Linked DNA regions of Oryzias latipes. The protein of the gene in region 1 interacts with the protein of each later gene in a biochemical or structural test. Links are inferred from orthologs where the notes say so. Each region holds a gene or a part of one and is shown on either strand. Other genes may lie near its edges.

Region 1 (15,979 bases):
AATACTCAGAAATGCAATTATAAGCTTAAATTTTCTTTATGCATGTCCTCCATTATTAGAAAAATGTCACAGGGCATGTTAGAAACACTAAAATCACAATTTTCATGAGAGTAGATCTTTAAAGACAAAAGTTATTTTGCCCCCTCTGCAGTGGCGGTTTTTGATATGGGCGATGTGGGCGGTCGCCCAGGGCGGCACTTCATAGGGGGCGGCATTTGCCGTGCCTGAGGCGTTACACCTAATGTGCTACATATTATATTCAAAGAGGAAGCTTGGAGCTTTTAATTTGAAATTGCTTCAGCAGCCGACACTTAATGCTTTTAGTTTGACACATCAGACTCTTAAGAATGTCTTCCTCCTATTTGGTCTTCACACTTATGGTGCAAAAAAAAAAAAAGAATACCTCAGAGTGAAACAACGTAAAACAGGCACATGAAAAGGAATTAGGCAGAACAAACACCCGTGCTCAACCCAATTTCGAAAAAAGCAGGCAATGGAGATTATTTCCCACAATTCTTTGCTCCGACACAGCAGACCCGATGCGCACGTGACCACCGCCCTCTGCTGCAAGACGCTTGCGGCCACACCTCTTTGCGGTAGTCTTTGGAACATAAGTCAAAAAACTCGAGAGGGGAGCGCAACTCGCCGGTGGCAGGCTTAATCACACTAACAGGTGATTGGGAGTCTTTTTCTATCTGACAATCAACTCTGGGCCGCAGCTGCGCCTCCCGTCATAGAGACGGAGCCGCGTGTGTCAGAGGGAAGGGGAGGGGGAGGGGGATGAGATCAGACCATTTTTTATGGATTGAGGTTTTTTGGAGGATTTCTGCTGTTGGTGTTGCACAAATTTAGGGAAATGCCAAATATTTTTGGAGTAATCCCACTGATGAGTTCTAAGATTTAGTCTTTAATGTTTTATAAGACCTAAACATATTAATCACAATAAGTTTTATTTTTTAGATCTAATCCCTCTGATATGTTTCACAAAGACACACACAGGACGTCACACATTAAGAAATTATTGCTAAAAATGAAGCAGGAGTCCAGCTCTAAAAAAAAATTCTCTAAAAAATGATGAAAGAGCAAAAAAAATGGAATTATTTGATATAATTTCTTATTAATATTTCCAGGCTTTCTTTGCTTTTTGTCCTGCAGCATGTTCATATTTGTATAATTTTGACAGAATATATTTATATGGAGAACAAAATATTACAACTTATTTAAGGTTTAACTTGTGTTCCTGTTTTTATTCATATTTATGTTCAAAAAGTTCAGTTTAAAAGGTTCAAAAGTTTAGCTTTAGTGTCTTCAGTAAACATTTATCTTCTTCGGCCCAAAACCTTAAGCGTGTTTTTAACTTAGGCCCCTGTGTGACTGAGTTTGACCCCCCTGTAATACGAGTCTAGAAAATTCATGCATTTTTTGTGTAAAATGGCTAAATAGAAGATAGGGAACACAGCAGGATGTTGTCAAATTTTGTATGTGTGTGTGTGTGGGGGGGGGGGGGGGGGGGGGCTGGTGGGGTTACTCGCCCAGGGAGTAAGTTACTGCCCCTCTGCTACAGTACTTGCACCACCTGGGAACCAAATATTCTTCTCTAGAAAGCCACTCTCAAATAGGCTTTTTTCTAATCCCCCCTCACCCCCTCTGTCAGAGGAACAGAAAGTTCTGGCCTGTTGGGGGCGATGTAAACGTCATGTAAGAAAGAATACATTTCACGGGATCACCTGGTTCAGGTGGCACAGTGACAAAGGTACTATGGTGAAGAGTTGAAAGGTTAGGGGTCAGGTAAGCCCGGAGATAAAGAGCAGCGCTTGTGAATGGTGATATGAGAGCCAGGCAGGTGGGAAACGAAGGGGCACGGCAAAGGGGATGTTAATGTGGGAAAGAGGCATGTTCCCTCTGGAGGAGGAAAAGCAGGCCTCCTGCTGCTGTAGGGTTGTCAGGTTTCAGTTTGAAAATCAATCTGTGTGGTCAACAGAGCAACAGTGAAAACAGCAGTTGTCCCAGCATGCATTTGTCTGTTGTCTACAGCAATTTGGGCTGCAATTTCGCCGACACCAACACCTATTTGAGTGTTAGTGGAACATTCTTGTCAAACCTGAATGCATTACTATTTTGTTCCAAGGAGACGGTGCTAACCACTAAGAAATCATTCCCACATCTCATAATCCAATATAAATGGAAATGCAATCAAACTGAAGCTGACTGCGCTTAAAGCCGTCAAGCGCTAACATTAAAAAGTGAAATGCTGCACCAATATATTTCATCGCCTCTGTAAATCCACTCCTGTAAAATCCAATCAGAATGTTTTGTAGAATGTTGTGCACTTGAGATCATATTGAACTATAAAGTCGTGTCAAACACACACACACAAATGTGTGCAACATTCATGTCTGTAGATTCCCTTTGATCTCAGCACTCAGATTACACAGCAGTACAGTTATGTAAACATGAAAAACGAGATTTAATTTTTGTGCTTCTCAAGCATCAAGAACTCTACCCGATGAAAGAAAAGTTCACTTTCTTGATAACTCAAGCATTCTTCATAAATGATTGAATTGTTTTACCTAAAGAGCTGGTAGTGGATTTCCTCAGACACTCTGCATTATCTATGGTGAACATCCAGGAAGAGGACATTGGGAGTGTGGACTCTTAGAACGTGGGTCTTCACCTCAACACAAAATCGAACTAGTGAACCATTTGTTAACCCTTGTGCTATCTTAGATGACCCCACGCTTACATTGACGTGTAAGGGTCTAACTGACCCAACTCCCAATGTTAAAGTGCCTAAGATAGCACAAGGGTTAAAAGAATAGAGCAGACTCTATTTGCTGAGGAGACTGAGGTCTTTTGGAGTGTATGAACCACTTTTACATACCTGATGTGAGTTTGTGGTAGTCTTAGGCATCTTTTATGAAGAGGTCTGCATCTCAAACTGGTGAGGAACGGAGGATGGTCCTCATACTATCATCCTTGATGGAGAACAACACCCACGGTGTCATCACTAAGCTGCTCCTTTGGCATCTGTTACACCTTAAGCGTTTGAAGTAAAGACATCGAAGGTCGGTTCTTTCAATTTCCCCCAGTAAATCCAGTTACTAGTTACTACTATTACATTGTTAACCTCATTCATGTACAATTATTTCTGAACTGTGCAATATTTTCACTGGGCTATATTTATAACCCATTCCCTTCTTTAGTTTTGTCTAAACATGTGACACATCATTTACACATTTCTTTGTACATGCTGTTACTCTTATTGTTGCAAAGTGGAAATCTCCCCACTGTGGGACAACTAAAGGGCTATCCTAATCTTTTATCTCTTAAAACCTAGAAATATTTTTATGAACTTCTGCAATAGCTTTAAGAAAACTAATTCTTACATATTTATCATTTCTAAGAATAAACCTTTTGCGATGCATTCAAGATTCTTTTCACATTTTTTTTTACTTCCTGTTCGTTTGCAATCTATAATCATGTAAATATTACCCAAAAATGGTCGCTGTAACCGCTTACCAAAATGTTAGCACTCATCTGATTGAAAATCAATTAGTTATGTATTCATTCACCATGAATGTGTCACAGTCCCCCCGAACACTTTCAAACAGGTTCATTTTCAGTTCCTCTCTTGTAGATAGGTTTCCATATTACCGTTTGTTAATTATTCATGCGTGCTTGCTTGGCACGTCACTTGGAAATTAAGCAAACCGTTTGGACGAGTGATACAGAATCACACAGTGACCTCCTTTCTGAACCTGCCTGCATTGTCTGCTTTGTCTCCTGCTGATGGTGAAAAAGAAACAGGAGCTGAGGCGGAGATTATTCCTTCATGTGTGAAACTGCTGAGCAGCGCATGGCTACAAACAGCCAGAAGAGTGTGCGCAAAAAGCTGGGTACAGTTCCTATTGTAATGTGCAAAATGATATCTCAGCAGTGAAACTATCTCTATTACAGGGGGATAGAGATTCTCTTACGCTTTGGATTTGCTTCAAAGAACACAACAAATGAGCTAGGGGTGTTTGCTGGGGACTTGTAGAGCCAGTGCACATAAAGATAGAATTTAAAAACAGATACAATTACAATTTACTTGTGCAAGTTTTACTTGTGTTTAAGTTTCACTTCCTATTTGGCCTTTGACAAGTTGATCACTTCAGGTGCCTCATTGGTTGCACATCTGCTTTAGTTGCATTTCTTTCTTTTACATTATCAGTACATGAAATCCTAGATTCATGCCATAGAATCTTATGAAGGGGGCAGCATGTTTTCCCTGTGCCTTTGTGTGTTTTCTTCCTCCCACATTCCAAAAACATTGGCATCTCTGAATTGGCCCTAGATGTGCAAAAGGATTGCCGGCCCCTGCAACAGACTGGTGAGCTGTTAGGATAGCACAAGGCTTAAGAGTGTATCCCGCCTCCGCCCAACAGTAGCTGGGTTGGCTCCAGCATCCCTGTGACCCCAAAAGAAATACAGCAGCTTCTGATAAGATAGATGGATAATTCTATGAATCTAGTTCTGTCTAAATGAGGAAAATACCACTTTTAACCCTTGTGCTATCCTAGACAGTGCGCTGAACCTTTTTTCTTCAATGATTTGTGATCTTCACTGGTGTCCATGGATTACATTAAATCTTTCCACCTTTATCCACCTTTGTCATGGTAGGGAGAACACGTCAATGTAAGGGTGGGGTCATCTAAGATAGCACAAGGGTTACAGTTGCTGAGGAGGATAATTTTTTTTTTTTACCCCACACTAGTTTCTGTATCATGCAAGTTAAATAATAAAAGGCACCAAAAAAAAAGACAGCAAATACTCTACTTGGTAGGTTTTAGTCATTTATTTCAATGCATCCATTTAACAAATTTTCACAACAAATAGATGATCTTCCCCAAATAATACAGGAGCTCATGTCAGTTCTTTTATTACAGCATCATGTGCAAGCCCTTTGAGACATTCTGTCCTGATTATGTGGACGACAAAAATAAAGGAAGCACTCTGGATTGTTGCAGGAGGTGTTGGGATGAAGGACAAGCAAGCAAAAAACAAAAGGATTGACAAAAGTCCTGATGTTTTCTCTTCATGTTTATGGCATCATGGGATCCTCGTAACCTCAGTTAAACCCCGCAAATATGTTTTGTATTAAATTGCACTAAAAGGGAAAATGAGCCAAAACCACTTTGTTATGTAAAATGCCAATGCAGGAGACAATTATGATGCAAGCTGACAGAAATGCCAGTCACTGAGAAACGAATCCTCAACGTTACCGGGACACATCGCGCACGTTCTCCAACAGAGCCGGAGAAATGCATAACAGTTCTCAAAACAAAACATTTTCTGTGAAAACGAAAGGCCAATTTTCATTTGTTCACCGGCGCAGGTAAAAACACAGACACTTCAATCACGCGCCCTGGGGGGCTGGTAGTACTGCTGCGTGGGCCTCGTTCGTCTCGGCTGTCCATCTCCCCCACGGCGAAACTCTAGTGAACTGTCGTAGAAGCTGTCATCTTCCTCCTGCCAGTGAACATTTGACACAAATATGGCGTGCTACTGCGACTCATTAGACCTGCAGTTGATCAGCCCCTCACGAAAATCCTGCCCGACTGGTTTCTCTTTACTACTTGCTAACATGTTTGCAACTTCATTAGCAGAGTAATGAAACGTCATTTCTCCTTACCAACATGTCAGCAGACACAGGTTTGATGTTCTCCAGGAGGACCTCCTCACAATTTCCATAGTCACTGAACACAACCACAGCTGTGGAGCCAGATGGATGCACTGCGTCTATTCTTGCATGGTAGAACTTCAGGAAGACACATACAGGCATCAATGTCACACTGCTGTCTCTATGAATAGTCAGCACTGTTTGAATCAACATTTTACTATATGTCAAACTTCCAAAAAATACATTTGTTTGGTTGTACAGAAACGTGAAACGGAAACTTACTTTGCCGTCTTCCCAGTACAGCGCCAGACACTGGTCTCCGGGTTTCCATCCATGTTCTGGGATTTGATTCCTGTCTGGTCCCCGAGGGCCTTGACCTTTACCTTGGCCCGGTCTTCTCTTCGGTCCCGAGTTTTGAGGCATATTTCTTCTGGGTAGCTGCTCCCTGTTTGGAGTACAGGGCATGTTTCCAGGCTTAATTGGTCCAGTTCTTTTATGTTCTAATTCTCCGTTTTGAAAATGAGAAGGAACCCCTGTCAACGAGCAAAGAGTTTGTGGAAATCCTCCTTCCTGAGTCCCCCAGCTCCCTCCTTTTGAATTAAAGTTGGACTGGCCACTATTTCTTTGTCTGTCAAAGTGGTCCGAGTTTTGCCGGTCAACCTTTGGCTTCCTCCTGCTGTTGTTGGCTTCTTTATTGTTTCCTCTTCCATCTGCATCATTTCCTGCAGAATGACTTGGTTTAGGTGAGGGTCCGTCGTTTTTCATCCCTCTTTTTTGAGACAACCCAGACGTATTTGAGCCGCCTTCTCTATTTCTGGATTGTTGGTGGTAAGATCCATTAAACTCCAACTTCTGCTGAGGTTCTTCTGAGTGCTTTGGCAAAGTGGTAGAGCTAACGGTCTGATCATCTCTTGTCTGTCTCCTGTCATTAACCGCTTGATCTGGTATTCCTCGCGGCCACCTCTCCTGGCTCCTCCACTGCTGAGATGGAGCTGACGTTGGACAGCTCATTAGGTTAGGGATGTGCTCCTGGCCTGGTTTAGGAAAATCTGTGTCTTTGTTAAATCTTGGCGGCCTGTCGTTCCTTTGTGATTTGTGTTCATAGTGTGAGGAAAACCTGGGCTGAGAATGCTCTTTGGTGTGGTAGCTTGTGTTGGAGAAACTTGCTTTGCTCTCATGGTTCCTCAGCTGTGTCTGACTCTTTGTATCTGGGAAAACACGCCAGCAAAAAATATGTAAACAATGGAAAAGAAAGGTTAGAACATCAATGTTCCATGTTTTATTGATGCTCTGCAGGAGTTAGGATGTTCTCAACTCGACTAACATTTGCCTTTAAAGTTGAATCTTACTGGGAAGCAACACTGAAAACAGTATTTGAGAACAAGTACCCAATATGTCTTGAAACATTTGCAAAAGTTCTTTTTTTTAAACAAAACTAAACTTCTAAGTAATCTGATGGCTGTAACCTGTTTTAATATAAAACATCTATTAGGCAAAACCCCCAGAGACATAAAGTTCAACAATTACCCAAGTTATAAATGACAATTATTACGTTCCGTCTATGGCCATTATGGGAAAGGTGCTACAGATCACTGAGCAAAAACTTCTGGACATTTATTAGACGTCTTTGCAGATGAGATGTGGGGCTTTACTTTGTTTTACTTTGAATGATGTTGCTCCAAGTGCAGAATCATGAAGATGTTCACCCACCATCCACAGAGAAAGCCCCCATTTTGGATTCCAGAAAGTCAAACAGAGTGCTTGGACCAGAAGGTCTTCCTCCAACCCCATCATCCTCGTCTTCGTTTCTGGATCTGCCTCTTCCCTTTCCTCTTCCTGAAGTCAAAATTAAGCATACAGCTCAGGTGGAGGGGGGGCTAAACAAAAACCACCACTTTACAACTTGAGAAACGTAAACGACTTTCTGAATTGATTTTGTTGTGGTTTGTGTACGAACCTCTGGGTTGGGACTTGTTTGATTCAGCCACCGTAGAGCCGGGTCGGCCACCAGAACTTCCGGTCAGTAGACTGTTTAGAGCCACTTCAACATTGTTGTTATTATCCAGCAGAGCTTGTCGAGCTGCCTCTCTGTCAAAGCCCATTTCCATGAGGTCTCTCAGAGCACGTTCGTCCACCTGCCCACCAACCACACGGAGCACAGTCAACAATCAAAAAACACCAAAGACGGGAAAAGTGTATAGCTTTGGAGAGAAGGAGTAGACTCATGGCTAGCAATAAATACGATGCATGAGGAACACCTCCCCTTTTTTTTTTTAAATCTAGCTTAAATTACAGGGTAGTGCATATTTCAATTTAAAAAGGTAGGCCTAATAAAAACAGGCTTATGTCTTCACGGGTTTAGATGTGTTGCAACACACATCTAAACCCGTGAAGACATTTATGTGTTCAGCCTAAAGCGGGACAATTACAACTTCATGATGCAAAGCAACAAAAAGAGACAAATGAACTCCAGCTTAGTTTAAAAACCAGACGGACCTCAAGTTCATTTACATTCTTTAACATTGGTCAATGTGTCAGACGACCTCTAAACGATGAAACAAGACTTCAGTTCAAAAATGTGAAGAAATAAAGAAGAGCAACCTGCTGCCTCCTTTAACGGTGCAAGGAGGCATTACTATTGTCAGGAAATACCCATGTATTGAACTTTAAACGTTAAAAAAAGTATAAATGTTGGTCATCTCACCAGCTCTCTGTAGTTTCCCTCTGGTCTGCTTTCTGTCTTTTCAAATTTGTCTTCACGTCTCCTTTGCTGGTTGGCATCTCTGCTTCGGGAAGAGGAGGCAGCGTTGGATAAATTACTGCCCGCATTCCCGCCGCCACCAAAGCTGCGGGGACCCTAACAAGGAAAGAGGAAGACAACAGTTGTGATCATGGGAAGCCGGGAAAAAGGAGAAAGAAAGGAAAATAAAGAAGAATATTGCTGTTGACATTGTAATTATAAGTTCTTCTTCTGATGAATGTTAAGAAGGTCCATTTTTTTAAACAACGAAGGTTAATGCAAATGTCAACAAACTGCATGTATTTGAGCTGGTAACCAAAATAGGTGGTGCATCATTTGAGAAAATAGAATTTAGTTTAAAGAATACAGTTTGTCTAAAGGCATTAAAGATGTGATGAGGAAGGATGTAAATAATGAAAATCCTGTTTTTTTCAATGTGCTTTCAGTTTTGTTGTTAAAGGGGTAAAAATGTGTTTTTAAAAAAATGTATAACCGCTTTGAAGAAAAAACAGCTACATGAGCATTTAGATTCCTTTCAAATAAAATAGCTACCCTCATTCTGGAAGATTAATTTTAAGCTTCAGAAAGCACCCAAAAGGGGTTACTGCATTCACATAAAATGGAAATCAGTGGAACACCAACACAGATTAAGGCTGCGTGATATTTGTGGGCGGAACTGTTGGGGCAGAGGAACCTCGCCCCTCTTTCCCCCGCCCATTGCTGGGTTTACATTCTCTCCCACTAGATTACAGCCCCTCAAACCCCCAGCCTAACATTACCGCTGCAATAAAAACTGGCAAGCAATTTTAGAGCTATTCAGCCGTGCAGTTCTGAGGCAGATTCCAGCTCCGATGAGTAAAAACAAAGTGTATTTGGATCTATTTGTCTGCAAGTGGATTGATCAGAATATAGAGGGGCAGGGGCTTAATTTTCCTTATATAAGTCCTCCATTGTGAGAAAAATGCCACAAGAACTCGTTAACAATATCAGAAAAACAAGTTTCATCGAAGCTTTAAGATTCTTCTATTTTTAGATTACTGCTAACACAGATTTTTAAGCTCTCTTGATACCTTTGTTGTGTGTTTTAGTAATTAATGTGAAACCGTAAAGTGACCGTAAAACATTGACAAACCTCTTTTGTCTTGGCCACCTCGGCGATCGCCGCTGTTCGCTGCTTTTCAAACTCGTCGTTCTCGTCGGGACTCTTGACCACATTCTGCGTCTGGAGGGTTTTCCTCTGGTCCAGTTCTCTGCTGTCTACCTCGTCCTTCCGGGCACACTTCTGCTCCGAGGACAAACACAGATCTCTGTTAGTCGTTTGAACAAAGAAACACTGTAACACAATACAGAATGGTGTCAAAACCAATTTAAATACATTTCCTTGGTGATATGCAAATATCAGTGATACACAACAGCTCAACAATAGAGAAAAAAGGAATTCAAAGGAAATGCCAAATTTTCACACAATTTAAAAGAGACTATATTTCTCAAAGAAGTTTAGAATATTTAGAGTTTGCAGAAAAATGGGCCATATCTTCTACAACTCAGACTTTCTAATGTCTTGTGCAACAAACTGAAAATAAGTCTGGTTCTAGTAAAGCACAGAGCAGATTTACTCAAAGATTTCTTCAGCTGTAGACAAATTCAAAAAAATGGAATTGGATAAAAAAGGATTCCTAGAGACAACATCCAGATATTAAACACATTAGGAATGCAAAGTTGTAAATTAAAAAAAATGTCAATTCCAGAGCAGATAAAGATGCTAAACCTTGACACAAAATCACTCACATTTTAACCTTTTAAAACACACAAAATTAAAAGAAAAATTAAAAAATAAAAGCATTTATGCTTTTGTTTCCACTTTTAAACTTTGAATAGAAAGCAACTATTTGTCAATTTAAAGTGTACAAGTGGACACGTACGCTATATTACCCACTTAAAGATTACTCACAGAAACATGCCATATTTTCTTTCTTTGCTGTTTTTCTTTTAAATTCCAGACACTTTTGTATAAAACCCTAATGCAGCATTTGCACCACGGGTTATAGGTAAGGCCCAAAGCTGAACTGTAGATCTGTCCAACTATTTCAAAGATTTATGAAGACAATGCTTCAAAAGATCAAAGGAAACACTGCGGGGAAAAGAAACTCAAGGCCAGACCTGTCTGACTTGTTGAATACCTTCATCATTCCCAGCTTTCCTTAAAGCTGCGGCTGAAATTCCATTTCTTAAACATCCGTGCTTAAAGCTGGCCTTTTCTAGACACAAGTTGAAGTTTGTTTAAAAGCGTGCAGGACTTTTTCGCACCTGACCAAATGGTACAAAGGGAGGTGGGCCCCCTTCTGCTCCGATGTTGCTCCTGCTGTGTTTTGCCAAACTCTGCAAGGTGAGGAAGAAAGACAACTCCATGTTCAAAGCTATGTAAGCCCAAATGAAATAAAAAGAGCAATGATTGCTAAAATTAGATATTGTCTTTTAAGCCAAAAAAAAAACAATCTCACCCTTTGGAGCTCCCATTTCTCCACCATGTGCTCAACTTCTCCTCCAAGGACTAAGATGTTTGAATCTTCAAGAAGCAAACAACCATTTTTAACCTGGACTGTACCAAGAAGCTTCACCTTTGTTCCGGGGGGTGTATTCAGACTGAAAAGGACAACAAAACAATGCTTAAATAAGACATGTTTTAGCAAAGCAACACAAACTCTTTTTAAAGCGTGATTCTCACACATTAAAAAAACGGCAAAAACATCCCATTGCCTTCCTGATAGCACTTTCTAAATGACATGAGGCATGAAGCTCTGTCAGCAGATGGGTGGCACGGCTAGAAGAGACCATTAATAATCCCAGCTGCTCCCCCATCCTCATGGTAAATTAAAAGCGCCTCTATCTCATCAGGCCTGATAAGGCCTCTGCCTGTCTCATTAGGAAACCACTGAGACTTAGAGGGATTTCCAGATCCTGATGCAGGAAGCCAAAGGAACAATTACAGATTTTGCTCTTAACCTTTGGGATAGAAAGTGTTCTCTTGATGGAGGCAAGTGCAGAAATGAGACACTGGTTGTTGTTTTTCTCTCAACTACAGACAAACATGCTATTCAACTTGCAACCTAATAGTTGACTTTCTTCAAGTCCTTCATCCCCTTTTCCACGCGCTTACAGACACTTTAAGCAATAAACACAAACCACTGTTGTTGGCTGCCAGTGTGTGTGAGTCTGTGTGTGTGCGCCGCTCATAAAGAGGGGATTTGTTCGGTTTTCTCCTCTCATCCCAGCAGGAAGTCAACACCCACATTCTGGCCACTCCACCTGTACAGGCTGGAGAGAGTCACCATGGCAGCCATCACCAAGGCCACCACTGCTTGGATGGAGATGTAATTAAGGCCGGGAGCAGCTAGATCAGCTGCCACTACGTGGAAATTGCAGATAAAGGGAAAACAATCCAGGCGTGTGGTGCGGTGAGAGCGCTGACAGGGTGTCAGAGCAGAGTGTGCTCGCAATTAGCACGCTAGCTCTAAATATAAAAGCTGGCTAAATGCCCCAGGATCTGCGTACCAAACATCATGCCGTTTATTTAGCAATTAGCCATTTGTAGAATAAGTATGATTTTTAACCCTTTTAACCAGTGATGACTGCCCTGACAGCTGCATTTAACTGTACTCCTCGTTTGTTCAAATATGCAGCATACCTAATCTTGGACAGATGTTTAAACTCCAATCCGACACAGGTGGTGTGCCCATCTGTCATCTGTAGGCGCAGCATCCGCGGTGCACCCTGGGACTCCTCGTTGTCTTTGGGGGCTGAGATGTTTCTCACCTTTTGTACCTGGAGAACACATGGGCCCTCCAGCTAGCCATGTGCAACAGACAAAGAAGGATCGATTATAAAGCAGACACGCCAGCAACACAAGTTACAAGGAAGCCGAATACAGTAGAAAATGGATAACATTTTTACCTTTTTCAATAAAAATAGTATGTTTGTATACGTTACCCTTAGCGTTTGCCTGTTAAACTATTTCGTTACCTATCAGTGCAGAATTACTGCCTTAAGCCATGATTTTTTTATTATTTTTAAGTTTGTGCTCACATAAAAACAAAGTCGAATAAGCGTGCAAAGCAATTCCAGGATAAAGAAAACAAAACTAATCATAATTTGTTGTGTTTTAAGATGACCACCTTCAGTTTTAGTAAAAGGTCCACCATTTTTTTCATGATCATTTGGCAGAGTGTCATCACCATCTAGTGGTGATCCTGAGAACTACAGCTTAACACAGTTTTCATTTTCTGCAAGATTTCTTTCTTCCTACCTTCTCTGTTTTTCCACTGTTGATATCAGATGGTAAAATCTTGCTTCCGATAGGCCTAAGATCCGTCTGCAAGGGAATAACAACAGTATAACAAAAATGCACGAACAAAACATTATATTTCAATTTGTGGATATTAACAGTTCTTGAAAATTGACACTAAATTGAAGGAAGGAGTTCTGAGTAGATTTAACCAAACCAATCATTCTCATTCAAGCTTCTTACAGTTTTTCACTTAAATAATTACATGAGATACTTTGAAAGAAATTCTCACATATGCAATTTTGAGCTTAATTTTCTTAATATCTAACCTATATATTTAGAAAAATGCCAAAGGAATGTGTTAAAAATATCAAGAATGCTGAAATACAATATAAATATCATAGTCATTTCACCCCCCACAGCCGGCAATGTATGCAAAATGTATAATTTAATTAAGTAAATAATCGCACCGATTCTACTAGAAAACATCAATCTAGTTTTTGTTTTTTGCTTTAGTTTAATCAGCTGTCATTTATTTGCTAAATCAGTCAACTGATGAAAGGCAAACGTGTGTGTGCACATGGATTCTTTTCCATCATGCCTGAGTGACAGAGTGCAGAGCGAACGTGAAGCTCTCATCATCATCATCATCATCATCATCATCACCACCAACATAATGCTGCTCTGCATGAGCTGTCACTTGGGGGAAGTATTCCTGTCACTTCTTCATGTGACAGAACAAGCCAGTACATTTGAGAAGAGCAGAACCAAGGAGAACCGGGATCCATTAATGACACTCCAGAACATCATTATTGATGAGATCACACTAACAAGAAACCCTTACGTTTTGATATTTCAGCACGAAACGCCACCAATTCCTTAAAGCCCTCAGTTTAATTAAGCATTTAAAGGGAGAAGTAGTTTGCTGACTCAACATCTCAACTAAACACACACAACCCAAAGGCCGGACGTAGATATATTGGGGAGCAGATGCAGCGCACTGCAGTGAGTCGGACGGCCTGCAGCGTTTTCAGACATCTCCTTCTTGATCCGCGGGAGGCACAGCATGAATGATTGACTAACTTCCTCTGTCACATTAAAGCGCCTTTGTTCACAGAAAGTTCAAGTCAATCCATGTCCACTAAAGGCTGTACATTCAGACTTTTTAATCTAATTACTGATAATCTAGTGAAAAGAAAAAGACATCAGGTAAATAAGCAGCTTCGTCACTAATAATTCAACCTCTACCTTGGGTTTTGATCTCTTCAGGCAGGCTGCACATGACTATGTAGAGAGCTTTAAAGGAAATTGTTATGTCAATTATTTTATTATGTCATTACAATGTAAAAAGTATGAAACTGCAGCATTAAAATGTTTTTAATATACATTATTAGAGAAAAGAAGCTGGAGTTCAGTAAATTTCATTTCTGAATGCAAACCAATGTAAGCAGATGAACATCAAGAATGTCAGGAATGAAATTGGATATTCATTTCATAGGGACTCTCATGTTATAAACGTTTTAAGAAGGGGCCAAAACGGGATGCAGTGCCCAAGGACACTAAAGCCGAAGGGAGGGATCAATACAGAAACTTTCTGACTGAAAGACGATAACACTTCCTTCTGAACAACGTCCACACACCCCCACCTCTCCAAAAAAAGGAGGAAAAATCAATATGTACCTGTCCTCACATTCATTTCTGATATCATTTCAGGATGTGAGCAAATGACTAATTGATCAAAGGGGAAGGAGTTGAAGGAAAAGTCCGACTCTTTAGAGCTAGGGTGAGAGAGAGAGAGCGAGTGCAGCCGAAGCTGAGCTTGCAAAGAATGTGTCATGCGTGCAGCACGCTCACGGCTTTCTTCCCTTTCCAGCCTAGCCTGTCTCAATCCTACTTATTGTGATGGTGTTGCAGGGTCCTACAACAATTTGCAATGCAAAACCAGCCTCAACTACACACATACACCTACAAACACACACCAAAACAAAAAGAAAGCCCATTGCGTTTAAAGAACAAAAGCAAACATCTCAAACTCACATCCAGTGCAACGTGAATGATGTCACTGTGGGTCAGTTTCTCAGCAGATCCCTTCAGCTCTTCGATGCCTTCATCTGTGAGGTACCTGTGAAGACAAACAATAAGAATTCCACACTAAAACCTCCTGAAGCTCCAGCTATAACACTGGAAAATGTTTCAAACCAAAAAAGCCTTTAGGTTGTAAAAAATAAAGTAAGAGCGTCAATCTTACTTCAAGTGTTGGACTTTAGCTTTAAAAATACCATTTATCCAAAGTGTTTGTCTTTTTACACAGTCTTTAGAGATAAATCCCAACGAGTGATTCTAATTTCGACGAATAATGGCCAACTTTAAAAATACTTCCTGTAGTGAGGTAGTATATTTACTTTTAGATAGTTAGATATAGTATTTTAGATTTCTCTCCCTCTGATGAGTTACTGGACTCACAGATGTTATATTGACAGTAGTTTGACACTTCAGTGACCAATCTACACGTGTTTTGAGCCAGATATGACATATGTCCAGCAAATGATGAGTTAATATGTTCAACCTTTAGGCAAACAAACAGAAGAAAATCCCTAAACATCACAGTCATCCACAATCTGTTGACAGTAAGACACAAGCCTTAGAGCAGGGGTGTCAAAGTCATTTTCACCGAGGGCCACATCAGCATAGTGGCTGTCCCCTAAAGGCCAGATATAACTTATACATGTAACTAAATTTAATGAAAAATAAATGTGACTACTCCTTAATGTTAAAAAAATGAATTATTTATTTATTATAACTTTTTAAAGTGACAATTACAGTTTCATAGAAAACATCTGTTTGCTTGTTACTCTAGCATAAATCTTTTTAAATTTTAACCGCTTATTAAAACCCACATAACTCGAAGGATCAAACCGTCCAAGTGAATAACGAAAAATAACATAAAACTCAGCTAGAAAGAACATGTATTACACGTGTAACATTTTACAAAAAAAGGCTGCACACAGCCTTTGTCTGCATACACACATAAGACCTGCAAACACTGAATAATTACAACAGCAGCTACACATAAATAATATGTAATCAACTAAATGTAATTTTAAGAAATTAATAATTGTAAAGCTCTCAATAAAATAACATGGCGGGCCACATTTGGCCCCCGGGACTTGTGTTTGACACATGTGCCTTAGACTTTCAGGGGATGTAGCATTAAGTCATTAAAATAGCATCTCGTGGACAATCTCTGCTTTTTAATGACTCAAAACTGTAATATTAAAGATGATTTGAAGGCAGT
Region 2 (16,521 bases), on another chromosome or scaffold:
ACGTCACACTCAGCTGTTCAGTTCTCTCATATACAGTCAATGACCGGGACTGAGCAGCGTTCGATCCTCTGGAAGCGTCTGACTCCTCCCCCTGGAGCTGAATGGAAGTCAGTCTCAGTCTGCAATGAAACCCTCCAAACTGTTCTGGTCATCTTTTATCTTTAAAGCAAAGATTTTTATTTTTATTTTTTTAAAGCTGACATATTTTGATGATAAGTAAAACTGATGACTTTTTAAATAAAAATATGTATTTGCTGTTAAGTAAACCTGGAATCAGGTTTGAAATCATTTTTAGCTCTTACTGAAAAATGATCCTAATCTCGCTCAAATTCATATTATTATGTTTTAGCTGTGATTGATCTGGTATATTTTTATGTTGAGGAATCTTCCAAACATCCCAGTTTCTCTGAATTCAGATAGTTCTCGTGGCATTTGTTAATTCCAGTTGGAGCTGTGATTCTGCCTCCTGATAAGCGCACAGTTACAGTCTGAGGTCATGTTGGGTTTGGTTCAAGCTTCTGGTCTTGGTTGATGCAGAACTCTGCAGCCTGAATTCTCCCCAACCCAGCGGGACATTTGAGAAGGTCTTATGTCCAAACAGCAGCTCTGACCTGCTGGGTTCTGCTCAGGTGTTCAAGGGGAAGGACGGCCCGCTGACCCTGGACTGGAGCAGGGTGAGGGTGTTTGACCGGGAGGTGGGACAGATGTTCGTCAACCTGGCCAAGATGTCTAAAGAAGCCAAGGTAGGAAGATCATGAGCAGTGCTGGGTCTCTGTGACCCGGTACAACCCACCTGAGGCTCAACACACACTCCTAGACTCACAGCTACACAGTAGTGAGATGATGAAATGGTCTCTGATGATGGACCAAAACACACACAACCCAACTTTAGAAACACCAAACACTAGGAGTGATGCCGGGTTTTATTTTAGTGGACCCATAAGGACCCGGTTCAGAACTTGCTGATGGAGAACCTGGTTCTGAACCGGATGTCCTGTGTTTTGGATGCAGGTGGAGGCGGTGAGTCAGAAGGAGAAGACCAAGCAGAGACCTCAGGCCCTGAACACCGTGGAGATGCTCCGAGTGGCCAGCTCTGCTTTAGGTGATCCTCTCCTCATCCATTGATGACCACGAATAACAATAACTAGCATGACTAGCATGACTGCCATGACTCGTTCTTGGAGTCATGTGACTAGCATGACTTGTCCTATGACTCGTATGAACCTTGTGGTTCTGTCGCAGGAATGGGCCCCCAGCACACCATGCAGATTGCAGAGCGCCTGTACACCCAGGGCTACATCAGCTACCCCCGCACAGAGACCACCCAGTACCCCGAGAACTTTGACCTGAAGGGAACCCTGAGGCAGCAGGCCAACAGCCCCATGTGGGCCGAGGAGGTGAGCTGCAGTGGGGGTGGGGGCTCAAAAACTCCTGTGCTTTGACCTGTAAGCACCTCTTCTGAGGCTGCAGCTCAGTGACCCCCCCCCCCGCTATCGTTCATCAGGTTAAAGCCTTGCTGTCGGCTGGACTGAACCGACCCAGGAAAGGAAATGACGTCGGGGACCACCCCCCCATCACCCCCATGCGTGCAGCCTCAGAGGGAGAGCTGGGTGAGTCGGTGGGGACGGGGGAGGGATTTAAAACGAATCACTGATGCAAGAAAAGAAGACCCCCCCCCCCCCCCCCCCCCCAGGTTCTGAGAAAGCCTGTCACTTCTGACATCTTAGGAAAATGCAAGAATTTATCACAAGGTTCTAAAAAGAATTTCAAAATGCAAAAAGAAGAAAGAAGGACAAGAGAACTCATATTTTTGGCTGCCAGTTTATTAAAAATAACAATTTTAAAGAAAGAAACTGATCTAAAGTTAAGGACCACGTCCTTTAAAAGCCAGACTTTGCCCCAAAATCTACATTCAATGTTGTTTTCTCCAAAGTAATCGTGGTAGGATTGTTGAGCGGCATAAGGAACGCCTCTCACATCCTGCCGTCCCTGCTGAGGTTGGACGCTGTAAAACTGGAATTTAATTTCTTTTATAAAAGATCCTGATGGTTATGGAACAAAAAAGGTCAAAAAATGTTACTGGGAGGATCCAAAAGGCTGTTCGCCATGACACGGGACGGTTCTTGACCCAAATGAAGACGGTGCTGACTGTACCGATCAGACGGCGTCTGCGAGAGAAGGACTTCTAAAACAAAGGCCAAAGGCCACGCCTAGGCCACTTGACTAGGGAACGCCAAACATGGGATGTTTGAAAGTGGAAGAACGTCCTCTAACTCGGACGGTCCTGACCTCTGTCTGGCATGACATGAAATGTTTTCTATGCAGCACAGTGGAGGCGCCATCATGGTCTGGGTTTTTTTTTCCTGCGGGTCACAACACCCGCCTGACCGCGGCGGACCCCACTCTGCTGCATGTTTGAATCCAATTGGATGGACGTCCTTCATGAAGGACCTCTTAGCAGAAAGCCTTATGGAAACACATCAATGAGTTTTTTAGGTGATCATCAAGATGGGCGGAGCTACTCAGTACTGAGGTTTTTTTAATTCTATGGTCCAAAACCTTTGATCAGCGGATGAACAACCCATTTCTGTTAACCCTTGTGCTATCTGGTGGGGTCCAGATGACCCCACTCCCAAGGTGAATGTGGCACCTCCACACGCATGCATGTGTGCGTAGTCTTGGCGTGCCTTTGCTAATGCAAGCAGGTACATCCACACTTAGCTGGGGGGGCGCTAACACCCCGTAACTCATCAGACCCGCTCTGTCCTGCAGGCTCTCACTGCACACGGATTCATGCTTTTCCATTGCATGCTGCAGTTCATTTGAAGCTTCAAATCTGCGGTTCCGACCGCTAAAACTTGGATTTAAGGGATTGGTTCGGTTCTGGACAGGAGGACATCACAAAACCATCTGTTGTTTACAGTCCAAAGAACAGAAAACAACAGCAGAACAGAGCCGCCCGCTGTCTGGTTCAGGACTCCGCACATCTACCACGGCCTTGAGTTTCTCCGTTGTTGGGAGCAGATGGAGGTGCTGCACACAGAAAGATGTCCTCTGAGGTTTGCCCCGCCCACTTTGAGGCTGGATTTCAAAAATTCAACCTCGACCAAGAGTGAAACTTTACCAGAATAGAGAAAGAGCTTCACAGTTCCCCGCTTTGCTCAAAGAAACTTTGATATTTGACTGGGTTAGCAGGGAATCGAACCACTTCTATAATGAATCACAGCATAACTAAAAATCACAGCTCTGACCAGTGCGAAGGTTGCGAGCAGTGATCCTGAACTTGGGCAACAATATTGGGTCTTCAGGATCTCATCCGGATTGTCCTGTGCTGCTCTGCAGGAAGTGACGGCTGGCGGCTGTACGAGTACATCACGCGGCACTTCATCGCCACCGTCAGCCAGGACTGCAGGTACCTGCAGTCCACCATAGAGTTCAGCATCGGCACGGAGCGCTTCTCCTGTGGAGGGAAAACGCCCATTTCTCCAGGTGAGCTCAGAGGGAGCAGATCTTTGTGACAGAGCTCGGTTCTCTGCAGCTTCAGAAACGCAGAGAAGCTTCTTTTTTGTTTTTGAAAGATAAATTAATTTTTAAAAAAAGCACTACTTTTTTCATAATGTTAGTTTTTCTGTTGGTTGTATCTCCATAGCAACCATTCTATTTTTGGGTTGCTCAGGAATAACCGGCAGATCTACGTACTTTTAGAAAATTAAGCAAAAGTACATTTTTGCAGTTCTTAGGCAACAGACCGTTCTGGTTAACCACGCCCACATTCCTCATATGGTCATACTGTACGTCATATCCCTTCATTTAGTCACTGCGTATGTTTTGCTCATTTTCACGTATCAAATTTCCGTCTTTCGTGTATCATGCGTGATGTACTTGACGTGCTGCTTGCATTCCTCATACATCGATGTGCGCAGATGTCCGGTTTGGAGTTGTTCAGAATTTTTGGTCGGGTGAGAATTACGCCGTTTACGCATTTTTCTCATAGTTTCTACACAGTGATACCAGGGTCCGGGTGAATTCATGATTCTGATTGGCTGCTGGAAGCGGACATAAAGTGATAGTCCACAGAGATAACGCACCCCTAAAAAAAGAAGTTCTGGTCACATAGCTTTGATGTTCTGTATCACTGCGCCGGCTTCTTTAAAACAAACGTTTTCTTTATCATCTGGACATACATAAACAAGCGGTTAGAGGTGAACTTTCTCTCTGAACTGATGCTTTATTTAACCCATCGTGACCATCAGCATATATTTGGCTTTCCTTTGCTTCTGCAGTCGAGGTCCGTCGCCACTCAGCGGGCTAAGCGGCGCGTTGTCATGTTACCGTGACAACCACACCAAACAAGAATCTCCTGAAGGAGAAAACAGTTTGAAGCCAAGAAACCTGAAAAAGAAGAAATTCAGATTCTGGGGTTCCTCAGCGTTCACACAAACATGAGAGGAAACGCGATGGAAAACCCTCTGAGCATTTGAGCAGCTCTGGTTCTGTGGACTAAGTGGGCGTGGTCTTGGATCTGTGCTCTCCTTCAGGTTACACGGCCCTGATGCCCTGGCAGGGCGTCCCGCTAGAGGAGGCGCTGCCGACCTGCCAGCCCGGAGACGCCTTCACGGTGGACGAGCTCCGCCTGGTGGAGAGGCAGACCGGCCCCCCGGACTACTTGACGGAGGCCGAGCTCATCACGCTCATGGAGAAGCACGGCATCGGTACCGACACCCGCCTCGCTGAAACGGGCCGGGCCTCAGAGCTCTGCGGAGCAGAGTCGTGACGCCCGAGTTCTTCCCAGCGCACTCACATGGGCTGTCCTTGGTATTGCAGGGACGGACGCCAGCATCCCCGTCCACATCAACAACGTCTGCCAGAGGAACTACGTTACCGTGGAGACGGGGCGCAGGCTCAAGCCCACCAACCTGGGTGTCGTCCTCGTGCACGGATATTACAAAATCGGTGAGCGCACGTCTGAGCTGTGACCTCCGCGCCGCCGCTGCATCAGTGGCCATGGCAACCGGCACAGGCGTCCTTCAGCACAGCTCATCCGCACTCATGCACCCCCCCCCCCCCCCCCCCCCCCCCCCACAGACGCAGAGCTGGTGCTGCCCACCATCCGCTCCGCCGTGGAGAAGCAGCTCAGCCTCATCGCGCTAGGGAAGGCCAACTTCCAGCAGGTGCTGCAGCACACGCTGGACATCTTCAAGAGGAAGTTCCACTACTTTGTGGACTCCATCAGCAGTGAGTCCTGCGGAGGCCCCGCCCCCTTCTCCTCTTCCTCACTGATGGGGTGTTCTTCATTTCATTTTAGAGAAAATGTTCTCAGAATGCAAAAACAAAACCAATATTTTGAGTAAATTTCTTGAAGATGCAATTAGAAGCAGAAGAACCGGAGTGTTTGTTCTGATAGAACCATGTGGTGTACGTAGACTCATTCCGGACAGTCTGGTTCTGATCGTTTGGACTAACAGAGGACTGGACTGATGACGGGCTGTTGCTCCTGCAGGCATGGACGAGCTGATGGAGGTCTCCTTCTCCCCCATCGCTGCCACGGGGAAGCCCCTGTCCCGCTGCGGGAAGTGCCACCGCTTCATGAAGTACATCCAGGTGAGCCGCGAGCTGCACATGCTCATGTGTCCATAGGGGGGCGCTCACAGGTCACGTGACCCGTCCATCCGATCAGAACCCTGTCATCTCTGTGGGTCATGAAACAGAATTCTGGGATCAGGACTGTCCTCCTGGATTAGTTGAGCTGTGCCCTCGTTGTCCCTCCCTCTGCCCGCAGCAGATGTTTCAGAACCGGTCCGGTCTTTGGGTTTCTGTTAACTCTGACCCAGATCCCAGCTAACGTCTGAGCTCCTCCTGCAGGCAAAGCCCAGCCGGCTCCACTGCTCCCACTGCGACGAGACCTACAACGTTCCCCAAAACGGCGCCATCAAGCTGTACAAGGAGCTGCGCTGCCCTCTGGACGACTTTGAGCTGGTTCTGTGGACCTCAGGGGCGCGGGGGAAGAGCTACCCCCTGTGCCCCTACTGCTTCAGCAACCCGCCATTCAGAGACATGAAAAAAGGTAATCTGATTACCTTCTTTAGTTTGTGGTTCTTCATTTAAGGTTCTTCTTACCTGAAGGGCTTATATCATGCTTTTTTAAGCTATATCCATATATATGATCATATAGGACCTTTGGCACACTAAAGAACCATTTCTTTAAAAACGGCATATTCGTGGTTAAAAAAGCTCTAGGAACGCTTTGACAACAGATCAGACGATGATGAGAGGGACTTTAACAAACTCTAACTATTAAAGCTCAGAGTTTCATAGTTTTTTGTTCTTCATCCGTCCATCTCTTAGAGGTGGGTCCTCCTCCTCTTGACGGACACTCATGTACTTTTACCGCGTTGGAAAAGTCTTTTGTCAGAGGCAGAGCCAAAGGCTCAGCTCCCTCAGAAACCACAGGTTTCCATGGTAACGGGCCTTCAGCAGCAGCAGCCTGGCTGTTTTTACCGCGTATGCCGCTAAAGCACTTTCCACATGACCGTCTCACATTTACCTCTTGTTCTCACGGAGGGAGGGGGCTCGGTTTCCGTGACGATAGATGGGTTGTTGGTGGTAGGAGGTGTGCGTACCAGACGTTTCTGCACCGTGTTCTGAGCTCAGCAGAGCGTCGGGTCACCCAGCCTTCGGACCTGTGGACTGATGTGTGTGTGGGGGGGTCTTCCTTTGTTCTTTTAGGTATGGGCTGCAACGAGTGCACCCACCCGTCCTGCCAGCACTCCCTGAGCGCTCTGGGCATCGGTCAGTGTGTGGAGTGTGAGTCCGGAGTTCTGGTTCTGGACCCCACCTCTGGACCAAAGTGGAGGATGGCCTGCAACAGGTGCAACGTGCTCGTGCACCTCTTCGAGCACGCTCACAAGGTGCAGGTGAGGACGGTCTTCCTTAACCGTGTTGCTCATGAGCACACCGGGCAACACATTTGGACCCATGAACGATGGTTCTGAAACACGTGCAGAAGGCAGCGGCTCCTGAACCAGACTGACTGAAGGACGGGCTCAAAGGCAAAGGGGGACTGGAGGCTAAAAAAAAAAAGAAACCTTACGTCCACGTCAGCCTCGTACGGGCCGGTCCGTGACGTTAAACCGGTCTAGGATCTAGATGACTGCAGAACCACATGATGCTGCTCAGAACTCCAGATTCTGAACCTCTTTTTTTTCTTTAAAGGAGTGGATTCTGTAAGATTAAAGCTTTTTAAACTTTCCCTCTCCATTCCTACCGGCTCATATTGATTTAAAAGTACCGGTACACGATTCTGCTGCAGCGACCCGCTCCGATCGTCTCTTGATCTGTTTTTAAACGTTCCAGGTGTTTTTTTGTTTACGATGATGCAGTTTTTAGCTAAAATCTAAATACCTGTGTCGTTTGCTAGGACCTAGTTTCTGCTGAGCAGCAGTAGTTCATTGGAAAGGTCCCGCCCCCCCTCCCTTCCCCTCCCTGTTGTTGAGAGCTTAGAGTAGGAAGCCGATTGCAGTTTGTACACAAAAACTACGAGCTTTATAAAACTGCGTTTTTTTTTGTCTGCTCCTGATACACAGCGATTTAAACAAAAGAAAAATGTAAAAAAAAAAAGCAGTTTTCACTTTAATTGTCTTAATTATGTCGTCCATCATCAGAAAAAAGCCACAGGAACGTGTTAAAAACACTAATTTCATTCTTTTCACTCTTTTTATTCTTTTTTTTCCCATGTTGCTTCGATATTTATTTTGTGCAAATTAAAGGGCCTATATCATGCAATGACGATATCAAAATGCACTTTTGAGTTAGTTCCTCACTAAAAACAATCCTAAAGCGGTAATTTGATCCATTGATGCATTTCTAAAAACCTGCTCTCTGAGCGATGATCAGTTCCTCACATTGTGACGTCACGAAGTGAAGAACCGCCCCTTTCAGGAAGAGTCTGAGCTGCCAGCTCCGTCCCCAGGCTAACACACACGCCGACTTTCTCAGTGGAGCTAGTGCTGATCGACTAAACGCTTTTTATGTTTTAGAAAAAAAATACGCACTTCCATCTTTGCAAAAGTTCAGATGTTTGTTTGTTTTTGTGGTAGAAACGCTGCTGAGGCATGAAGAGAAAGGCGGAGCCTCAGAGGTCGAGTCGTCTTACTTCTGGGTTGGAAAATAGCTGCGAAAATAACAAATATTTCATTAAATAGGTATTCTTTTGTGTGTCAAAGGTTATGATACATGTTCATATTATCCTCTGAATAAAAGCGATATAGACCCTTTAAGCCCAGGACACTTCCCTGCTCTCTTCTTCTGCCAGCCCCAGCTGCGACACTCTGGGGGCCCCTCACCCCGTCTGCCATCCCTCATTTTCACCGACCTTCTCTTCTTCATGGCTAACATTCTTGCAGAGATGTGAAAATGTGGACCCTGAGGTTCTGATCCGGTTACCCTCACAGGTCTCTCAGGACAGCTGTGAGGTCTGCGACGCCTCGCTGGTCATGGTGGACTTCAACAAGGCCCGCACCCCCCTGCCGGAGGGGGACACGCAGCACACCGGCTGCGTCTTCTGCGACCCGCTCTTCCAGGACGCGGTGGAGCTCAAACACGCCTCCATGAGGCGCACGGCGCACCGAGGCGGGGGCGCCAGGCGAGGGGGCCGGGGGCGCGGACGCGGCCGGCGACCAAACCCTAAGAAGCCCAAAGACAAAATGGCTGCCCTGGCAGCATACTTTGTATGAGGGGGGGGGCGGAGTCCAGCAAGACCAGAGGGACAGTGCATGATGGGACAGTAGGGGGGGGGGGGGGGGGGTAACCGCTGCTTACAGCTCAACCTGATGTTGTGAAGGAGAATAAAAACTTAAAAACATCTGTTTCTGTGTTTGTTTAGCCCAGAGCAGCAGAGTTTCTCCCTCCTTTGATTTAACCAATAAAACACAAAATCAGACAAAAAGATGAACACAACAGCGCAGACACACGTATTTAAAACCCTAATAAAGTCTTATAAGTCTGTCTGTTCCCTGAAGGCACCAGGAGGATGAGGAGGAGCTTCTTGCTGCATTTTGGCCCTTAACCTAAAAACCTAACACCTGTATTCCTGGAGCCGCACACACACACACACAACACACACACACACACACAAGACACTGCAGCGGTTTCTGAACAGAAAACCGCACTATTCTATGGAAAATCTGCAAAGCAACGTCACTTTATACAATTGAAACATTTAGCAGCACATAAACACTTTTGTCACCTTAACACTGTTATATTATATTGGCATTTGTTGAAATGTCTTTTCATTCTAACATGAATCCTTTTATAGACTTCCTGCTCTTAGGCCTGAACAGTCATGCAGAATATTTCACTCGACTGTATTGTGGAGGTGACAAAAAATGGAATTTGGGCATCAGGTAAACAATAAAACAAGATCATGGAGGTCCAGACTTCTGCTAGTTTACTGTTTAATCCCCTTTTAAACACGGCTGTGGGGGTTCCTCCAGAATATTCTTTATTGGGGAGGGGAGGCATATAGGTCCACTAAAACATGAAACTGATTGGTGCAGCTGTGTGATGCTAAGCCCAAACTTTAAGAATCACCTCTCCAGTTCTAAGAAACAGTAGGAACCCTTGAACACAACCTGGTTTAGATCAGCGGTTTCAACACTTTTTTCTGAATCAAACTAATACAAAATTTATTTCCACTAAATTTTTCATTATAATTTTGAGTCATTTGATGGAGTTACATTTTGAAAATGAAAAAGCATTTCTGTTAATCCATTTTAACTGTCAAATTAGACATTTCTAAATTAAGTTTGCTACACATTTACCAGAGAACTTTTTGAAAATGAAATGTCAGATACCATTTTGATTTTAATTAAGTGACAGAATAAGCGGTGTTGAAGAAGAAAATGAAAAAGCATTTTGTTGGATTGCAGCTTCATTTTGAAAATGAAAAAGCATTTCTGCTTTTGACTTTTATTTTTAATTATGCCACAGAATCGCTTCCATACAGTAAAGTCAAATGTAATGACTGGTGGACAAATAGGACCAGACTGCCCCCTATAGGTGGAGGTTAGAGTTGTATCGACATAAGATGACCTCTGATTTACATGCTTGAAAGTATTTTAGTAATCATTTATTAATGTTAAAATGTCACACACACACATACATAGGAAAACAAAATGTAATTATATATATATACATAATTAAGATTTATTTATTTTTCATAGAATATGAAGATGACACAATTGTTTTCCACTCATAGTTAGTCGTTCGGTGAAGCCATTTACTATCAAAAAGTTCTCTTTAGTCTTTGTAAATCATAAACTACCCAAATGCCCCTATTCAAAAGTTTACATAACCCAATGACTTTGTTCTGAAAACATCCACACACAATCTGATCCAAAAGGGTTTGAATGGCAGCAACAGGTAACAATCCTCACCTGTGACTCGTTTACCTGTATGCATGTGTGCACAAAAGGTCGTGGAGTTTCAGTGCTGCACTGATATTTCTGGATCCTGAGTCGTGAGGAAAACTTAGAGCTGTCAAAGGATCTACGGGAAAAGGTAACCGAACTGAACAAAACAGGACAGGGATATAAGAGGATATCCAAGAAACTGAGAATGCCGGAATAATACCAGATCAAAGACCATCGCCATAATCTATTCTAGATGTAATAAAAGTCTGTTTTGATATTTCAGAACTGGTTCTGGACAGAATGGTCTCAATATGAGGCCATTCTGATAAAAGCTCCATGGGAGGCTCATCCGTTCATCTGGTTTTTTTGCATCATAAACCAGAAGAGGTCTGTCCAAACCTGGTTGTCACATGTTTGGAGCAGGAAACCGCTGGCGTGGAACAACAGCGTTCACTGCTGCTTCCACAGCTCAGACTGATGAGGATCAAGGCTCCGTCTTCCGTTTGGAGCTTCCAAAATCCGATCTTCCAGTTCCACATGAAGGTTTCTGACCAGCAGGTTCTGCACGAGTGAACGTCAGTCCTCAACAAACCAAAGCAGCAGTTTCTACAAACCTGGAGCTTTTTCTGATCAGACCCCCCCCCCCCCCCCCCCATTAATCCACTGTCCCCCCCATCCCAATCCAACAGAAAAACACACATTTTAGTCAGATTTTATTCCAGCAAACAGAAATTCTTCCAGCATCAAACTCTGACTGGAGTGTCTGTCCTGCAGCAGATGAAGTCTGTATTTGGTGAACGTCACTGTTCTGCAGCAGGTTGATCAATTTATCCAAACGATCATGGAGAAGTGACCAGAAGTCTCAGGTTCTAGTCTGATTTTCACGTAAAGATATTCAATGTTAGGACTTTTTCCCCGTTTATTTATTTGCATTTTCTAGGTTTTAAATTCATTCAATGGTTCTGAAATGTAGAATGCATTTGAGTTTTTATTTTAGGTTCATATCATACAAAAAATAATAATTAATTTTTATCTAAAATGTAATAAATAGTCAATGGGGTAAAAAGTACATCTGCTAACAGGAGGGTTTGCCTTCGAAAAACAAAGCATTTTTAAAGAAAAACATTTTTAAAAGACTTTGCTTTTCGATCAGCTGTTTTCCTTTAACTGGTCACAAGAGGAAAGAAATTACTTTACAAACAGAACCGATGTTTAAAAAACACTAATTAAAAAACAAAACTTTACAAAACCCAGATTTAATAGTATTTTTATTATATATATATTATATATATATATATATATATATATATATATATATATATATATATATATATATATATATATATATATATATATATATTATAAATCTAATAACTCCATTCAGTTCATTCATAATTTTGAAACATTTTCTGTTTTGGACCTTATTCTCAATTTGTTTTCTTCTTTTCTTTTCTTTTTTTAAATGTAATCTTTTTTATTAAGAACTTTCAGATTGTCATGGAAATGAGCAATAGTTCCTGATCAATTTATTCCTCACAGAAAGTAAAAGTAAGAACTTAATCCAAACTAATATTGCAATCATCTAATAAAACCTTTAATTAAATGAATCCCTGTAGTTTTTATTTTTTTACATTTGACTATAATTTATAAAGTTATTTCTATTTGTTTCTTTTTTGTCTTGTTTAATTTCCAGTGAGGCAGACATCACCAATTAATTTGTTTTTAATGTTTTAATTTTTGTTCATTCGTTGTTCTACTTGTTTTATGGTTTGATTTGTACCCACACATAAAAGCAAAAACACAAACTAAATAAAATAAAACTTAAACACAAAACGACTTTAAACAAATAAAACCAAACTTGGCAAATTTCACTTTGACAGAAAAGTTAAATAGCTTTTAGAAGACGAAGAGTCAAGATACAATTTTAATAAAATGTAGAGAAATCACTAAACTATACGAGAAACGTAATTTAAAGGTTTTTTTTAATTGGGGACATTTATTTTGAAAATAAAAATTAAGATAAATATCAACTAAACTCAGTAGTTTAAGTTTCACTTTTTGTGGTTTGATTTTTTAAAAATGAGGAGGAGCACAAGTGTCTTCCATAGGGATAGTAGCTTTGCATTATTATATATTTTAAATACATTAAATTAAATTTCGTTCTCTTCATGCGTCTCCATCCTGTTCATGGCACGCGCGTGCCCCTCCGCCGTGAGCACGCACGTGACAGAAGCTCCTGAGCTCCAGAACTGGAGCCAGAACCAGAACAATCTCCAGGTGGTCCGGACTGAAACCTGCCGAAAGCTGGTTTGCATCACGTTGTCTGGTTGGGGCTGCCCAAGTGCGAGCGCGCACCTCCCGCACGCACGTGTCCGGCTGAGCTCACGCATTGGTTCCAAGGTCAGAGAGCCACGCGCACGTGAGCTCTTAAAACTGCTTCAAATTTAGAGAATTAAGCAGAGAGCTCAGAACCAGAACAGGGCCTACAACCCATCTGGTGAGTCACGTGCGCGGATCCGCGTGCATCATTCCCACAGAGGAACTCCTTTCATCTGAGCTTCGCCTCCATATACGGGCATGGAGCTTCCTGGGGGCCCCACACTGGGAGCAAGCTGGAGAGCAGGCAGAACCAACATGAGCGCGCGTGCCTTACATAGCATCTGCAGGACGTCACCCCCACCCCCACCCCCAAAAAAGAGTGAAGCGCGCGTGCTACTAACTCCCTGAAGAACTCAGGCGAAAACACGACCGTTTCTGGATTTCCCGCTTCACTCGTGACCCGCTCGGTCCAGATTCTGAAGCGGTTCGGTTCCTCCCTCTGCTCGGTTCGGTGCGCGCGCGCACGGCAGCGCCAGATTTGTGAATGAAAAACAGGATTTGTGTTCATTGTTAAATTAAAGTCCACCGTGACGTCACTGTGGTTTGCGACCAATCCGGGAGAGCGAGAGAGGGGCTGCAGCCAATGAGAGCGGAGGCGGCCGCGGCCAGCAGCCAATCAGAGGCCGGCATGCAGATGCGGCTGCGCTCCAGAAGCTGAACGTCAACCAGCAAAGATGGAGTCCAGAACCGCGAGGCCGCAAAATACCGACCCACCGGAGGACCTTCTAAAGAGGGGGGGCACCGTGAGTCTTTCCCGGGGACGAGAACTGGACCGGATCGTGCGTGCACGCGCACACTGCGGAGCGGGAGGCTTTCTCGCTGTGGGACGCGCTTGCGCTTCTCCGCGCGTGCCTCCCTCGGACCGGCCCTGCAGGTACCAACAGAACCTCCTGGCCCGAAAGCGCGCGCACACGTGGATGTCGCGGTTCTGATTGGCCGCAGACATTCAGACCATGCTGAGCTGCGGAGCGCACGCGCGTGTTTTTACCAGAGTGGAAGCGCGTGCGTGTGCGTTGAGAAAACCGTGATTGACAGGTGGGTGAAAAACGCACGCGCCCGTCCGCCGGGCGGCAGGAGCAACGGCGGACTCTGGCTCCGGACTGCAGGAGGTCCGGGTGTTCTGCAGGCCCGTTCGGGTCAGAGGTGGAGGGTTCAGATCCGCTGGGAGGCCTCATCATGCTGAACATCCACAGAACCAAGGGGTCGGGTTCTGGGTTCTGGTTTGTCCTTCCTGTTCCAGAACAGGACCAGCTGGGTTCAGGTGAACGTCTCAGTGGAATCCACAGCCTTCCTCTAGTGGGGGGCTTCAGGGGCTTCAGGGCTGCTGGGACAGGAATAGAAGGTATCAGATGAGGCAGCATGAAGCTAAAGAGGGAGGGGGCTCTCCCTGGACCATAGACCACCACTACCCCCCCACTTCCTACATCCTCTCTTCCTACACTTTTGCTTCCTTTACTTCCACCCTGCTGGTGTCCCCCACCCATTTTGACTTCCTCCACCCTCACTTCCTGTACCCTCATCTCCTTCCTGTCCTGTCCTGCAGGAAGTGTGTGTGTGTGTGTGTGTGTGTGTGTAATGTTGACTGGAACAGATCTGAACAGACATGACTGTAATGCTCACATTGTAAAGTGGTGTGTGCACCCCCCCCCCCAGCCTGCATCTATGACATGTCTGTGTCTTCAGGCCCGGGTCGGGCAGCGTGACCCCCCACCCCGCAGCAGCCGTAAGCCTGTTTGTCTGTTTCACGGCTGCTGTTGTGAGGCGATGTGTTAATCGTGCAGCAGTGTGTTGTTGTCTGGAGCCCTTTTTCTGTTGTGCTACTGTGAAATCAGGTGAGCAGTGCAATTTTAAAAGGGCATCGGCCAACAGCGCCCCCCCTCCTCCTCCCCCCGCCCACCCCTTCCTGCCCCACACATGCTTGTGGCTGTCGGTGCTGCAGTTTGGACTCTGTTGTTGTTGTTGTTGTGCAGTTTCTCTGGTCGACCCGGAGCTGCTGCAGGCGGGACGCTGCTGTTGTAGAGGAGCAGACGGACAAACAAACAAACAAACAAACATGAGCACGGCGTCTGCTCTGACTGCACGGCGTCTGCTCTGACTGCACGGCGTCTGCTCTGACTGCACGGCGTCTGCTCTGACTGCACGGCGTCTGCTCTGACTGCACGGCGTCTGCTCTGACTGCTTAAAATAACTGCAGGAAAACGGCGTTCCTTCAATACCTGACCTAATCCAGATGTTCACACTAATTAATGTATCACTGTTTAATTCATGTATTTCTTTAATTCTTATTTAAAAAATCAGAAATTTAAAACCGTTTTTTTCACACAAATGTTTCCTTTTTCTTAATGCAGGAAATCTCAATAATAAATCACGAGACAATAGAGGATCATTGAATTAATGAAACAAAGTAACAATAGTCATGATTTTCAGGAACAACATGGAGGCAAATCAGGTTTCGCTTTAAGAAAATAAAACTCTAAATTTGAAAAAGGAATTAGGAAAATAAAAGTGGTTTTAATTTTGGGAGTGCATATTTTAAACTTGAAGGAAATACTTAAAATTTGGACAAAAAAGTATTGAAAATTTAAAAACAAAGTACATTTGAAACTTAAAAATAAACCTAAACTGTTACCATTTGAAAAATAATATTTGTTAATGAAAGTTTTCAACTTTAGTTTTTTGCGTTTCTCTCAGTCTTTGCTTCAGTCGGTTTCCAATTTCAGTTCAGACTTCCTGTTTTCTGCTGATCCTAATTTGACGCGTGGGCGGGGCTTTGAGCCTCTTGGCCACCGGAAACGCCGTGTGTGTCATTCCTCCTCTGCTGTACCCAGCTTTGGGAGAGCGTCATCACCGCCGTGCGTCTCTGGGTTTTCATTCACCATCAGCTGTTGCTACGGTGGCCCTGAAGTGCCAATAACAACTCCCTCCAAGCAGAGTCATATTAAAGATCACAACCAATATTAAAGAAAGTAATAACAATTTATAAAAATAAAAAAGCAGAATTAGATTTTAGAAATCAAAACATAATTCAAAATAAAAAACATTTCCAGAAAACCAAATGTAAAAAGAAACACAATAAGAAACGGTGCGTAGTACTCGCTGGACATCGCTGATCGGATGATGACATTTGATTTTTGTTCATCAAACCGACCTAAACCGTTATAGAACGGTTGCAGAGTGAAAAATATCTAATCTGATCGATATTGGAAAATACCATCTGGATTGAGACACAGTAGGTTTATGTGACTATAAGGTAAAACCGACCAATCACAGCGGATGACACACATGATGTCATTAAAGCGGATCAGTCCATCATTCCAGTCCAATGTGTGGACAGACTTTAAAGTCATGTGACCATCTGGAATGTTCTGAGAATGTTCCCTTTGAAAACACAACAGTGGTGAACTTTAGAAACTATCATGTGAATGGATTTGACATTCATTCTAGTTTACTTGTTTGTTTGGACACAGATTTCATTAACTTGATGATCTGGAAGAAATCCAAGAATCTGGAAAACTGTTCAGTAGCAGGAATTTCTGTCTGAGTTTCACTGCTGGAAGTTTGGATCAAGAGGATCTGGATCCACTTTAGGGCAGAGAATCGGATGAAATCCAATACTGAATATAAATTCAGATATGAATCCGTGTTTTAGTGAGTTGTTACGGCCGTAACCTTTAGCGTCTGCATGCGTTCTAATAACAATGAAATCCAAATGACCTTCAGTTGAAATGATGCA

Evidence for each region.
Region 2: the proteins of tdrd3 (region 1) and top3b form a complex in vitro, tested with the Homo sapiens proteins (2 studies listed by BioGRID and IntAct, with this or other methods). The link is inferred for Oryzias latipes from reciprocal best matches to the Homo sapiens genes TDRD3 and TOP3B.

Annotation. Positions count from the first base shown.
Region 1 is NC_019861.2:15,641,900-15,657,878, forward strand, and holds the end of tdrd3 (tudor domain-containing protein 3), read right to left. Parts: intron 14,807-15,979; coding exon 14,722-14,806; intron 12,772-14,721; coding exon 12,706-12,771; intron 12,249-12,705; coding exon 12,088-12,248; intron 11,046-12,087; coding exon 10,904-11,045; intron 10,782-10,903; coding exon 10,710-10,781; intron 9,685-10,709; coding exon 9,535-9,684; intron 8,520-9,534; coding exon 8,367-8,519; intron 7,798-8,366; coding exon 7,620-7,797; intron 7,499-7,619; coding exon 7,373-7,498; intron 6,871-7,372; coding exon 5,945-6,870; intron 5,801-5,944; coding exon 5,675-5,800; intron 5,512-5,674; coding exon 5,395-5,511; 3' UTR 4,818-5,394; downstream 1-4,817. UniProt on the Homo sapiens protein: Scaffolding protein that specifically recognizes and binds dimethylarginine-containing proteins. Plays a role in the regulation of translation of target mRNAs by binding Arg/Gly-rich motifs (GAR) in dimethylarginine-containing proteins.
Region 2 is NC_019867.2:30,368,438-30,384,958, forward strand, and holds the end of top3b (DNA topoisomerase 3-beta-1), read left to right. Parts: intron 1-629; coding exon 630-743; intron 744-1,011; coding exon 1,012-1,102; intron 1,103-1,242; coding exon 1,243-1,397; intron 1,398-1,504; coding exon 1,505-1,610; intron 1,611-3,342; coding exon 3,343-3,489; intron 3,490-4,538; coding exon 4,539-4,712; intron 4,713-4,824; coding exon 4,825-4,953; intron 4,954-5,085; coding exon 5,086-5,235; intron 5,236-5,500; coding exon 5,501-5,601; intron 5,602-5,862; coding exon 5,863-6,064; intron 6,065-6,726; coding exon 6,727-6,914; intron 6,915-8,450; coding exon 8,451-8,732; 3' UTR 8,733-8,778; downstream 8,779-16,521. UniProt on the Homo sapiens protein: Releases the supercoiling and torsional tension of DNA introduced during the DNA replication and transcription by transiently cleaving and rejoining one strand of the DNA duplex.